Linked DNA regions of Drosophila melanogaster. The protein of the gene in region 2 purifies or fractionates together with the protein of the main gene of each other region. This does not show direct contact. Each region holds a gene or a part of one and is shown on either strand. Other genes may lie near its edges.

Region 1 (5,685 bases), on a different chromosome or scaffold from region 2:
CGGCTGCGTGAGATCCCAAAGACAGCCAAGGCACTGCTTGGGAATGTCCGGAATGAGGAGGGCCTCCTCGACAACAGGTAGGAAAACATAACCCTGGGAATGATCATCTATAAAAATAACCTTGGTGCCTTCGATGTCCATGAAGAGCTGCCGGATGCCCATACTGTGTCTGTAGATTGTGCAGCTGTCCCATTTTTCCAGGGAATAGAACACCAGGTGACCAATCTGGAATAATATTATAAATTATTATGCAAAGAACAAACCAACTTTTCCAACTACACACATCTGTTGCAAAAATCAGAAGCTCCTGGCTAAGTGCAAAGCACGTGATCACCGCATCACTGGGCATATTGGGCAGAGCTGTTGGAAAAACCGCCTGCAGCTTGTCCTTGCAGTTTGGATTGTCGGCGGCAATGGCCTGAAGGATTAGTTGTGGTGGACACAAAGCGGCACAGTAGTCCGCATTCAGTTTCATGCTCTCCACGCTGCGCGGAAAATCGCGTTCGCTTAGTGGACGAGGCTCCTCGCCCAAACTCTTCCCGAGATCATAAAACCATACGTGCTTTTCAATTCCTGTAGCAAAGTTGTATGGCCCCACGGCCATGAAGGTAGGCTCACCCTCCAGAGGCAAGCGGAAAGGCAGCGACTTTGTCTTGTCCGGTGCGTAAACATAGATGGACACCTCGGCGAGACTGCTCAACAGCACAATCCGAGGTGCAGAGACGGCGAAGAGATGAGGCAGCTTGGTCACATAGATGTACACAGTACCATGGTTTGTTGTAACCGCCAATAGTTGACCATCGGGCGACCAATCGATCATCTGAACACCGGCATGATCTGGCACGGTAATAATGCGTTCAGTCTCCTGGAGATTCGTTATTGAATGAATCTTAATGCTGCTTAAAAAATGTGAATATTAACATACGAATGTTTCCTAACAGGTTTTATAGATAAGAATATAAGTACTTACCTGTCATCCCCGCAGGAGGCAACTATATCTAACGTCGGGCAGTATGCCAATCCGGTCAAGCTGTCCTTGTGGTTCTTCACCTGCCAGAGCTCCTGTCCGACGTCCTTGGGATGCGTAGAGATGGCCACTACATGTCCGTTGGAAAAGCCCAGCAGGATATACCCATCGCCAAACCACTTGTGCTGCATCAGCGATCCGTATCGGCTCTGGAAGCCCAGCTCCGTAGGATTCTCGGGCTCGGGCAAATAGTAGAGAAACAGAGTACGCTTGCCGATGATCATGCTGATGGCATTGTCCCCCGCAATACGTTCGTCATTGGCCATTTCGGCGAAGTACATGTCGGTGGGCGCATCTCTTAGCTGGACTACGCGCACTGTGTCGCCATCCTCGTTGCTCAACGAGAAGCTCTTGTCCTCCGAACCGAGAGCCAACAGATTCTGGGCGGACCAGGCGCCGCAAGTGATTCGTTTGCTGTGCTTGCCCAGAACCGGTGTGGGTCGCTTTCCACTGCTATGATTATAAATGGCCAGATTACCGCGTCCTGTGCCGACGGCCAGTAGTTGTTGCTGCTTGGACCAGAGAATGCACGTGAGGGGATCTCGAAGGCCCGTCTCCACACTGATCTTTTCCTGGCTGTTATAGTCCCACAACGTTATGTTTGGGGAGCCACTGGTAATGATGCCCAGCAGGTCACCCTCTTGGTCCCAGGCGAATCCTGAGCACAGCCTGGAGAAGAGATTCCATTACTGGTCATTATTCATTATTACGTAGAGATTGAGCATAGCTCACCCAGAAAGTATGATGCGCTGCACCAGTTGGCCCTGTCGATTGTACAGGGCCACCGATCCATCGGTACCAGTTGTGGCCAGCAAAGCCTTCTGCCAAATGAAGTACACATCTCCGATCCCGTGCGGTTCCTCATATTTGTAAAGGATCTTTTCAAAGGACATTATTGGCTTTACGTTTCTGCTGCGTTAGTGTACATTCTGCAATTTTTAATTTTCCGGCTTTTGTTTACGAATTTTCCGTTTCCATGGTAGCGGCGACTACAACTACAAGCACAATTCCCCCCACCTGTATGTGTGCATTTTTATTGCACCTGTTGATTTGGGCATTGGGAAATTCAGTATTTTTGTAATACGCCTGCGATAACTATTGAATTAGACAATTTTTAATACATTTAAATGCTTAAAGAGTTGTAATGCAATGCTAAACTCCGTATGGAATAATTACAAAAGTTTAATTATATTTCAAATTTCAAACAACTTTATAACGTTTTGTTTCGTTAGCCAATACTATGAACAGCTGTTTGTTGATGACGTCATCGCTAGCTGCGCATCTGTAAACAGCTGCTTAAGTAAATTCGCAATAAATTCACGGAATACTTTATTTATCCGTAAATATAGTTTAAATATCAGTGCAAATAAGGCTTAGAACATGTTGGATGACCTGCCGGAGCAGTTTGACCTGGTCGTCATAGGCACAGGTAATTAAGAAGATTTGAAAAGAACCACAGATGAGTCATTCGAGGGACGCCCTTTTCAGGCTTCACCGAGTCCTGCATCGCCGCTGCGGGCAGCAGGATAGGCAAATCGGTGCTCCACCTGGATAGTAATGAGTACTACGGGGATGTTTGGAGCTCCTTCTCTATGGATGCTCTATGTGCCCGCTTGGACCAGGAAGTCGAGCCTCATTCTGCATTGCGAAACGCAAGGTACACCTGGCATTCCATGGAAAAAGAATCAGAAACAGATGCACAATCCTGGAATAGGGACTCAGTGCTGGCCAAGTCGCGACGCTTCAGCTTGGATCTATGCCCGCGCATTTTATACGCAGCCGGGGAGCTGGTGCAGTTGCTCATCAAGTCGAACATCTGCCGCTATGCTGAATTCCGAGCCGTGGACCATGTGTGCATGCGCCACAATGGTGAAATTGTGTCCGTGCCCTGCTCCCGTAGCGATGTCTTCAACACCAAAACACTGACCATCGTGGAAAAGCGCTTGCTGATGAAATTTCTCACCGCCTGCAACGATTACGGCGAGGACAAGTGCAACGAGGACTCGTTGGAATTCCGGGGACGAACGTTTCTGGAATATTTGCAGGCGCAGCGGGTGACCGAAAAGATATCGTCGTGCGTGATGCAGGCCATTGCCATGTGCGGCCCCAGCACCAGCTTCGAGGAGGGTATGCAGCGCACACAACGATTTCTGGGCAGTCTGGGCCGCTATGGCAACACACCCTTTCTCTTTCCCATGTATGGCTGCGGGGAATTGCCGCAGTGCTTCTGCCGTTTGTGCGCTGTTTATGGTGGCATTTACTGCCTAAAGCGAGCCGTTGACGACATTGCCTTAGATTCCAATTCGAATGAGTTCCTGCTGAGCAGCGCAGGGAAAACTTTGCGTGCCAAGAATGTGGTCTCTGCCCCTGGCTATACACCAGTTTCAAAGGGCATCGAGTTGAAGCCGCACATCTCACGTGGCTTGTTCATATCGTCCAGTCCCCTGGGCAATGAGGAGCTGAACAAGGGAGGTGGTGGTGTAAATCTTCTTCGACTACTTGACAATGAAGGTGGACGGGAAGCCTTCCTAATACAACTGTCGCACTACACGGGAGCCTGTCCCGAGGGTTTATGTAAGAAACTTAAGAAAATATGTGAATTATTCCTTTTTAATGAATTAATTTTTACAGATATCTTCCATCTGACCACGCCAGCGTTGAGCGAGGATCCAGCGTCTGATCTAGCCATTTTCACTAGCCAACTCTTCGATCAATCAGACGCACAAATAATATTTAGCTCATACTTCACAATTGCTGCCCAGTCTAGTAAAAGTCCCGCTGCCGAGCATATTTACTACACCGATCCACCTACCTACGAGCTGGATTATGACGCGGCCATTGCCAATGCTCGCGACATATTTGGCAAAATGTTCCCAGATGCCGACTTTTTGCCACGAGCCCCAGATCCAGAGGAGATTGTCGTGGATGGTGAAGACCCTAGTGCCTTGAACGAGCACACTTTGCCCGAAGATTTGCGGGCACAATTGCACGACATGCAGCAGGCAACTCAGGAAATGGATATACAAGAGTAGTCATACTAAAATAAAAAGGAGGTTTCCTTGGTCTACATATATCATTACTTATTACAAAATTTTCTTAAGTATCTTTCGAATAAGTTATATATTGTATGCAATTTTTTGATTCATATATTCCTATATATTTATTATGTAAATTATTTATAATTGCTAAAAGTACTAGGTATATATAAATGTTTAAATGTGAGTGTTTCTGTGCATTTTGCTTTGATAAATATATGTTCGAAAAATATGCATTCCAATGCGTATAAAAATGTTTCTCCTTTATAAGTATTGCTTGACGGGTTACTGTTTTTATCGCACGAAGACAGAAAATAAGTGTTTTAGAGATAAAGGTTAATAGTTACCAAGGAAGAACGAATATTATAAGTCTTATTAAATTATGATAAGGCCTGGGCAGTTCACAATACGGGCAGCTACAATAAACGCAAGATAAATTTTATTCGAGCATACCTATTTATATTAAAAGACAGATCAATGAAAGCTAGGATATAAGAAACCAAGCATAAATTTGATGAAATCTAACAGAAAATATGCTTTCGTGCTGGAAGATACTGCCGATGACTCCTCTTTTCTGTTTTCACTGCATTTTACAATAAAGCTTTTGTGTTTTCATTTCTTGTGATTGATTTTAGACCCTTCCACCAGGTTAAATTTGCACAATGCACGAATAATTTCTAGAGGATACAGATGATGGGTCTGTAAGATTCAGTATTCATCTGCAAACTTAACCCAATGTAGAGGCAATTGAGTGAGTTGAGATTTCATAATCAGTTGTCTTGCGAAATTGTGAGTTGCTTTACCTATATCTTAATCAGATTATTATTGATGTTCTGCTGGCGTTTGCGCTTTGCATTCATGGCGTCAACAATTGGCTGCCGCTTGGCATTGTATTTCTTGTTTAGCTGTTCGATCTCCAGCTCCATTTCGTGATCGATGTTGCACAGCCGCTGGTTCAGATCGTCGAAGGTAAGGAACTTGAGGAACTCAAACTCACCCTCAACATAGGCGTGCGATTGCGTATGCATATGCTGATTCTGATATGCGGGCGGCGGTTGAGCTGGAGCCGCTGCCGGTATTCCCTGCTGTCCCATTGGCGCAGCGTTGCTGAGCAGCAGATTCGGTTGATTGTTGAGCGCGATGAGTTGTTCGTTCATCAGGGGATAAGCCATCAGAACTTGCTGCTGCTGCTGGTGCTGCTGCAGACCATACTGATTAATGGCGGAGATCTGCTGGAACTGCATTTCCATGTTGTGCTCCCAGTTGTTCAAATCGTTGGCCCCGCTTGCCAGATGCTGTTCATCCTGCTGTTGTTGTTGCTGCTGCTGTTGTTGTTGTTGTTGCTGCTCCGCTGCTGCCGGAGAATACTCTGTGGCTATGGGTTTTTCATCGCCACGGCCATCTCCCGCATTTTTGCGATCGAAGTGCTCCAGGAACTGCGGCCTGTAGCGGTTTCGCGGCTTCTGGTCGTCGTTGTTTTTGGCCGTTGTGGAGTCGTCCGAATCGGAGTTGATTACCATAGTGCCTGAATAACAGACAATACAATAACAAATGGCCAGCCCTTTCAAAATCATTTACATACCCAAGTTCGACTCCAGCTCCACCATTGTGCCGCTGTCAACT
Region 2 (6,287 bases):
CTGCATACTTATGTGGGCCATAGGCCCTACGTATGCGCACATGTTCTTTCCGTTGCCGTTACCGTTACTTACTCACTACATTCTGGCACATTCACTGGCACTCGCGGTCGCAAAAATAGGATGGTGGGAATAATAAGCTTCTAGGCTAGCTAATCCTAATCTGATTGAAGTCCTAAGGAAGTGGCACCTTAATGCTCACCAATTAGATTGAGTTTCCACTAGTAGGATTACTTGGCAACTCAATAATGTGCCTATTAGCCGCTGCTATTAGTGCAGCCGCGAGTATAGCTCCCTTGGCCGTAGGAACTTCGCACACACACCCCACCCCCCACACTGGCACAAAATCATCAGGTGTGTCCATTTTGTGTTATCTACACATGTGCAGCCGATGGTGCCCCAGGGTCAGGTATTCCGAGGTATATTTCCAGGACACGACGGGATGGTGCAGGACAAGATCCTGGGGATGCCCGGAGGGAACAGGTCCCGAAGACAATGGCACAGTACTTTGCAGCCCATAATCAACTCATAAACATCATAAACTAACCCCCACCCCTCACGAACACCACACACCCATGAAGTGAACTGCGATGGAGGCGTAGTTTTGGGCCCACGCCCCTTGGGCCAGGAAAAGTGGGTGGGAGTTATAAAAAATGCAAAGAGGGCGGATGGAAAACGAATATGAATATTTTAAAACCAAACAAAGACGGGCACAGAAAAGCGCACACACACTCTCGATGCAATGCTCCCTTGAAATCCTCTTGGCCTGTACACATGTATCCACAAACGGAACCCCGTTCAGCAAACTAAAAAAAAAAATCGAATAATATACTTTGTTTATTACTTTTGATTTCTCGGTTGACTGGAATGCACTTTTTTTCGACGAGTCGGAAACAAATTGTTTGTAAGCCTTCAAAGAAGCCAGCACTTTCGCCACTCAACACTCCACAAAACACCGCCGCACGCGAACTGCTCCAGAAACACACTGAAAAGCTGGTAGGGATTACGGCCTGGCGATTCTGAGTCCGCTGCTGAAATTGTTGTCATCTCAGGCCTTCGGCAGCATCTCGCACATCCCACCTCGCATCCCAGGCATGCGCAATCGATACTCGTTACCCCACAATCCCCAGTTCACTCGGGGAAGGGATGGGATGTCATGGCTGTGGCTGCACCGCCACAAAACGATACCATCCCATATTACAACTGCTCTGCGCAAAAGAAACCCCCATACAATGCATTTTGAGTGCTCATTACGGCCATTACCGAATCGATATTCTCGAAATGAACGAGCCGAACTGGCTCGACGTTCAAAACTGCATAAAAAAGGCGTCGTCTATGATTTGGATTTATTTAAAAACTAACTGCAATTGGCTAACAACAAACACGTGCATGGCATGGCGATAATCGGTTAAGTTTTACTTCTGAACAAAGGGCTAACAAATCGTGCCCGGATCAGATTAAGAACAGAAACGAACAGGTAACGCTAATAGATATCGAAATGCAATTGGCGGACCAGTGAGATCCGTTGTCATATCGGGCTAGTTGAACTTTGTCTTTGGATCGCACATTTATAGTAGAGTAGAATAGAGGCATTTCCGTTTCCAAATCCGTTTTGAATCGTCTTCCTTTCTAGTATTTTACTCTTTAACAATTTGTCTTGCACAAGTTTCTGTATTTTTGGGACGATAATTAGATAGGAAATAAAACACACGTCTTTATACACTTGCCACATTTCAGAACGGATGGGCAAACGGAAAGGCCGGGAGTGAGTAATTCTATTGGGGTAGATTGATTTGAGCTTTATCAGGTCGCGCTGTCTAGTCCGCTGGATATCCAAAGCTGAGGTGAAGATTGCACCACCGCCGGTGCTTACCACCCAGGGTGGACTCCTCGCGCCGTACGGCACTTAAAAACGGATTATCTTCAAAGTCAAAGTTGCCCAAATGCGAACGCAGATCGCCTGACGCCACTGGTAACAGTTGGCCATTGGGCAAGCCCATTTGCAGGCGCACGCACTGCTCCACGATGAACTTGAGTGCCGCACGGCGATGCAGCTCGAAGCAATCCCGCGATCCGTACATCAAGCGCTGCTCGGCACACAGACGCATATCGTTGGCGGCAACGTTGCAGCAGTAAAGAAATGATATTAGCCTTTGCTTGCTCACGGAACTCAGATCCACATGTGGTAGCAAGAGACCCAGCAGATCCTCAGCGTTGGCTTCACATTCCAGGCCATAGCTTGTCATTAGATGCTGCAGACTGGCCAACGTAGACGAACCACTGGCTCCGGAATCCTTGGGAAGGGCAAAACTGAGCTCATATGCACGACTCAGGAGCACTTGGCGGTAGTGGTAGCAGCTGTAGTCACTGATGTGCTTCCGCATAAACTTCTCCGTGCGTAGCAGTTCCGATTGCAGCAGGCATGGGCCGTTCTGAAGGATCCACTGGCGGTGCGACCAGGCGTGATAGTTGCTGGCGCATCTATCGGCGGCCCTTTCGCATATCCCGATCTCATTGGGCCAGTCAATAGCATCGGCACCTGGAAATAATGGAATGAAATGGGATCCCCAGTTGCCGACGTCCACTTACTTTGAAATGAGTACAGCCAACGGCGGTAGGCGAATGCTTCATTGGACTTCGGTTTGATTGAGAGCACGAGTGCGGAGAACTGCAGCTCCTTGTTGATGCTCAGCCGATTCTTTTGCACCAGCTGACGGCGGATGTGCCAAAAGGTGGTCACATCGGGATTAATCAGCAGAGCCACGTTTAGGTATTTGGCCAGGGAGTCGCTCTGCTGCTGCTGCTGCAGCGTCCGCAGCTGTTGCGCCGTGGTTTGACGGCGATGGGAGATGAGGGTGCGGTGGGCGTGGTCGTAGACATGCTGGGCACACCACGATTCCAGGCCCAGATTGTGCTCCACATGCACAACCGGCGATTTGTTGCAGTTGGCTTCTTTGGGTATAATTTCAAAGGAGGCGCTGGTGGAGAAAAGAACAATATATTCGGACATCAAGGCTTGCTTTCATTGCTAACAGTCTGATTAGATCTATAGTAGAACTAAATGCTGGACTCACAGATCCTGATCCTTGAGGAACACCGCATTGATGTCCCTGATGATCTTCTCGCAGAGCACCTTTTTCTCGTTGCGTTCCTCCTCCATGGAATTTGAGTATAGTCCGAACGTGGAATTTCAATGGGGATGTGGTTTTTGCTTCCTCGGGGATCTCGCTTCCGTTCCGTTCGATTCGAGGGTCTCAGGCACATTGATTGCCTCCAATTAATATGAACATGCTCAATGTCTCCGGTTAATTAAGATTTGGAAAGGGGAGGAAGAGGAGAAGATGGCGGAGGCTGGAACCCTGTCTACGCGACTATGGAACCCCCAAAGGCGGCCGCATCACAACAAATAAATTTCAATTAAGCCGGGGCCTGGACACGAGATCTAGCCTTTATTATTATTATTATTTCAGTGCCCAGTGCGAGGGGCTGTCAATCTGGTTCACCCCAAAGCGCGGTTCTCCGGCGGATCGGTCCGCAAGCTCGGAAATGTGTTCCCTTTTTTTGGCGACGGTGAGCATATGTTTGTTTGCAAACATGTGTTTGGTGTGCACAACAACAGAGGAGGCACTTGCCACGATAACCTACTAACCGCGACGTCAGAACCAACTGTCGGGAAAATGGCTATTGAAAGCAGGCATTAGCTGGGACATTAGAATTTTTCAATTTTTTTTTCCTTTTTTCTACAGTCAGTATTATCAGTACATTTGCTACATTCATATATTTTTTCAGTATTAACGGAATTATTTCTTAAGTATATGCGTTTAATAAACAGTTGATAGCAGAATGATTAAGATATTTAAGAAAATTTATTGAATTCAATGAGCACCTCCGTATTTGTGTGCACGCGGATTTGGCTAAAAACCAAAATGTTTGCCACCACTGTTACATTCCGCTGGTCACACTCTTCCCATCTAACACGTGCGCGCCCGAAAGAGATTTAGTAGAAATACACAGACAGGATGCAGAACTCCTTTCTTCCACTGAACACACGGCGTTTTCGACAGCGGGCCCAGGTGGAAACGCCGGATACGGTGTACTGGGACCGACTGGCGGTGAGTTGTATAGGACTAGGCAGAGAGGCTCGGCAACCAAATCATTGTTTCCCCTCTGCATTCCACAGAAACCAGAACTACTCAAGGAGCACAACACCATCGATTATTTGGACTTCAGTCCAAGCGATCCTGACAACTTTGTTGTGACCTGTTCGGTGCGCGTTCAGATTTACAACCTGGTGACCATGCTTGTGGTAAAGAACCTTTCCCGATTCCAAAAGACCGCATACGGCGCCACCTTCCGGCAGGATGGTCGACTCCTGGCCGCCGGCGACGAGGAGGGCCATGTCAAGCTATTCGACACCACCAGTCGCAACATCTTGCGTTTGTTCAAGGGACACACGGCACCAGTACACCGCACCTTCTTTACGGCGGACAAGCTGCAGCTAGCCAGTTTTGGAGACGACAAGTCGGTCCGTCTGTGGGACGTGGCAAACGAGAAGGTGGTGCAAACGTACGAGGACACGCACACCGACTACGTTCGTGCAGGCGCCATGCATCCGCAGGCAGGGCATATGTTCGTCTCCGGCGGCTACGATGGCAAGATCAAACTGTACGATACGAGAGCGGAAACGGCGGTGCAGCGCACCTTAGATCACGGAGCTCCGGTGGAGTCCATGTTGTTCCTTCCGAACGGCTCTATTTTCGTCAGCGCCGGCGGCAGCCAGGTGCGCGTATGGGATCTCATCAGCGGCTGCCGTCTGCTCACCATGATGTCGCAGCATCACAAAACAGTAACTTGTCTGCGACTGGGATCCGATGGCAGGAGATTGCTCTCAGGCGGGCTCGATAGGCACGTGAAAATCTACGATGTGAGCACCTACAAAACAGTGCACACATTGACTTATCCCAATGCGGTGGTCAGCATGGCTGTTGCTGACGGAGATCAAGCAGTTGTGGCTGGAATGGTCGATGGTCTAGTCTCCATTCGTCGCATGATGGTAGACAGCAAGCCCAGTCATTTGAAAAAGATTCGTGCGGATCGCGCTCGAAAGTACTTCGTGAGTACGAAACGCACGAACAACACCCAAGAGGTTGATCACACCATCAAGGACCACGTCAAGGGGCCTGGATTGAAATCCTACGATGTGCACTTGCGCCAGTTTAACCACAAGAAGGCTTTGGACGACGTGATGAATGCGCAGAAGATGCAATACCAGCCGGAGCTCATTGTGGCTGTCATCACGGACCTTCTGCACCGTGGATCACTGGGAAAAGCCCTCACGGGTCGTCATGAGGCAGCGCTTGTCCGATTCATCGACTTCATTTGCAACCACTTGGGCGAGGTGCGATTCATGCGCCCGCTGATGATGGCCGCGAGCACGGTCCTTGATGTCTTCGAGCAACGATTGGTGGCCTACAGCCAGAAGCTGATGAAAGCCTTGCAACGATTGTCACTTGCAATGCAGGAGGAGGTGAGGCTCACCGCCGAGCTGATGCGGATGAAGGGTGCTGTGGATATGCTCATTGGGATTTCAATGGACAATAGCGAGGTAGCCCATAAGCCCACCTATGTGGAGACAAAGACACCTAAGATGCATCCCTCCGTGGCGGCGCAAAATTATGTGGTCTTAGTTGAGTGACCCAGGCCGACGTAGAACAACGATATAGCCACATAGCTTTGATATTAAGTATATAAGTAGTAGTAGTTTAAGTATAAAGCAGTTTCAATACCCATTACGCATGTATATATCTTTCTTTATTAAATACATACTTAAAATGAACGTTTCGTCGTGCATGCCAATTTCAGTTTTGAAATGTACAATGAAATTTTGTCTGCCGTTTTACGCATAATAAAAAAAAAAAAACAATGTTAATGGGGCAGCAAAACAGCTGCCCGCGAAAACGAACTTTTTTTTAATATAATGGGTAATTTACTTGCAAATATTTACGATTTTCGTTCTCCAACTACTCGATTTAGGTTTCATTTTTAATTCTTTTTTATAGTTAGATTTACGTTATTTTACGATTATTTGGAAAGACGAATTTACACTTAGAATTTGCTCATCTTCGACGCATCGTTCTGTATTATTCTGCTTAAGCTAAACTCTCGCACTAATATTAATATATATCTTTATATTTATGTATAATTATAATTATATGTATGTATAGATATATATATCTATTCCGATCGACATCGCGTCAACTTTTCCCAACATGCCGTTCCTTGTGTTGCTT

What was found.
Region 1: the proteins of temp (region 2) and Rep purify together in Drosophila melanogaster (affinity purification with western blotting, with the first as the bait; one study listed by BioGRID). This does not show direct contact.

Annotation. Positions count from the first base shown.
Region 1 is NT_033778.4:19,489,817-19,495,501, forward strand, and holds Rep (Rab escort protein), read left to right. Parts: upstream 1-2,270; 5' UTR 2,271-2,407; coding exon 2,408-2,456; intron 2,457-2,515; coding exon 2,516-3,601; intron 3,602-3,658; coding exon 3,659-4,059; 3' UTR 4,060-4,309; downstream 4,310-5,685. Other genes in the region: Oseg6 (outer segment 6), read right to left, coding at 1-225, 284-896, 971-1,696, 1,760-1,920; hpo (hippo), read right to left, coding at 4,866-5,587, 5,645-5,685. UniProt on the Drosophila melanogaster protein: Binds unprenylated Rab proteins, presents it to the catalytic component B, and remains bound to it after the geranylgeranyl transfer reaction. The component A is thought to be regenerated by transferring its prenylated Rab to a protein acceptor.
Region 2 is NC_004354.4:2,258,880-2,265,166, forward strand, and holds temp (tempura), read right to left. Parts: upstream 3,637-6,287; 5' UTR 3,158-3,636; coding exon 3,072-3,157; intron 2,976-3,071; coding exon 2,587-2,975; intron 2,537-2,586; coding exon 1,815-2,536; 3' UTR 1,328-1,814; downstream 1-1,327. Other genes in the region: CG3071 (uncharacterized protein), read left to right, coding at 4,017-4,109, 4,178-5,692.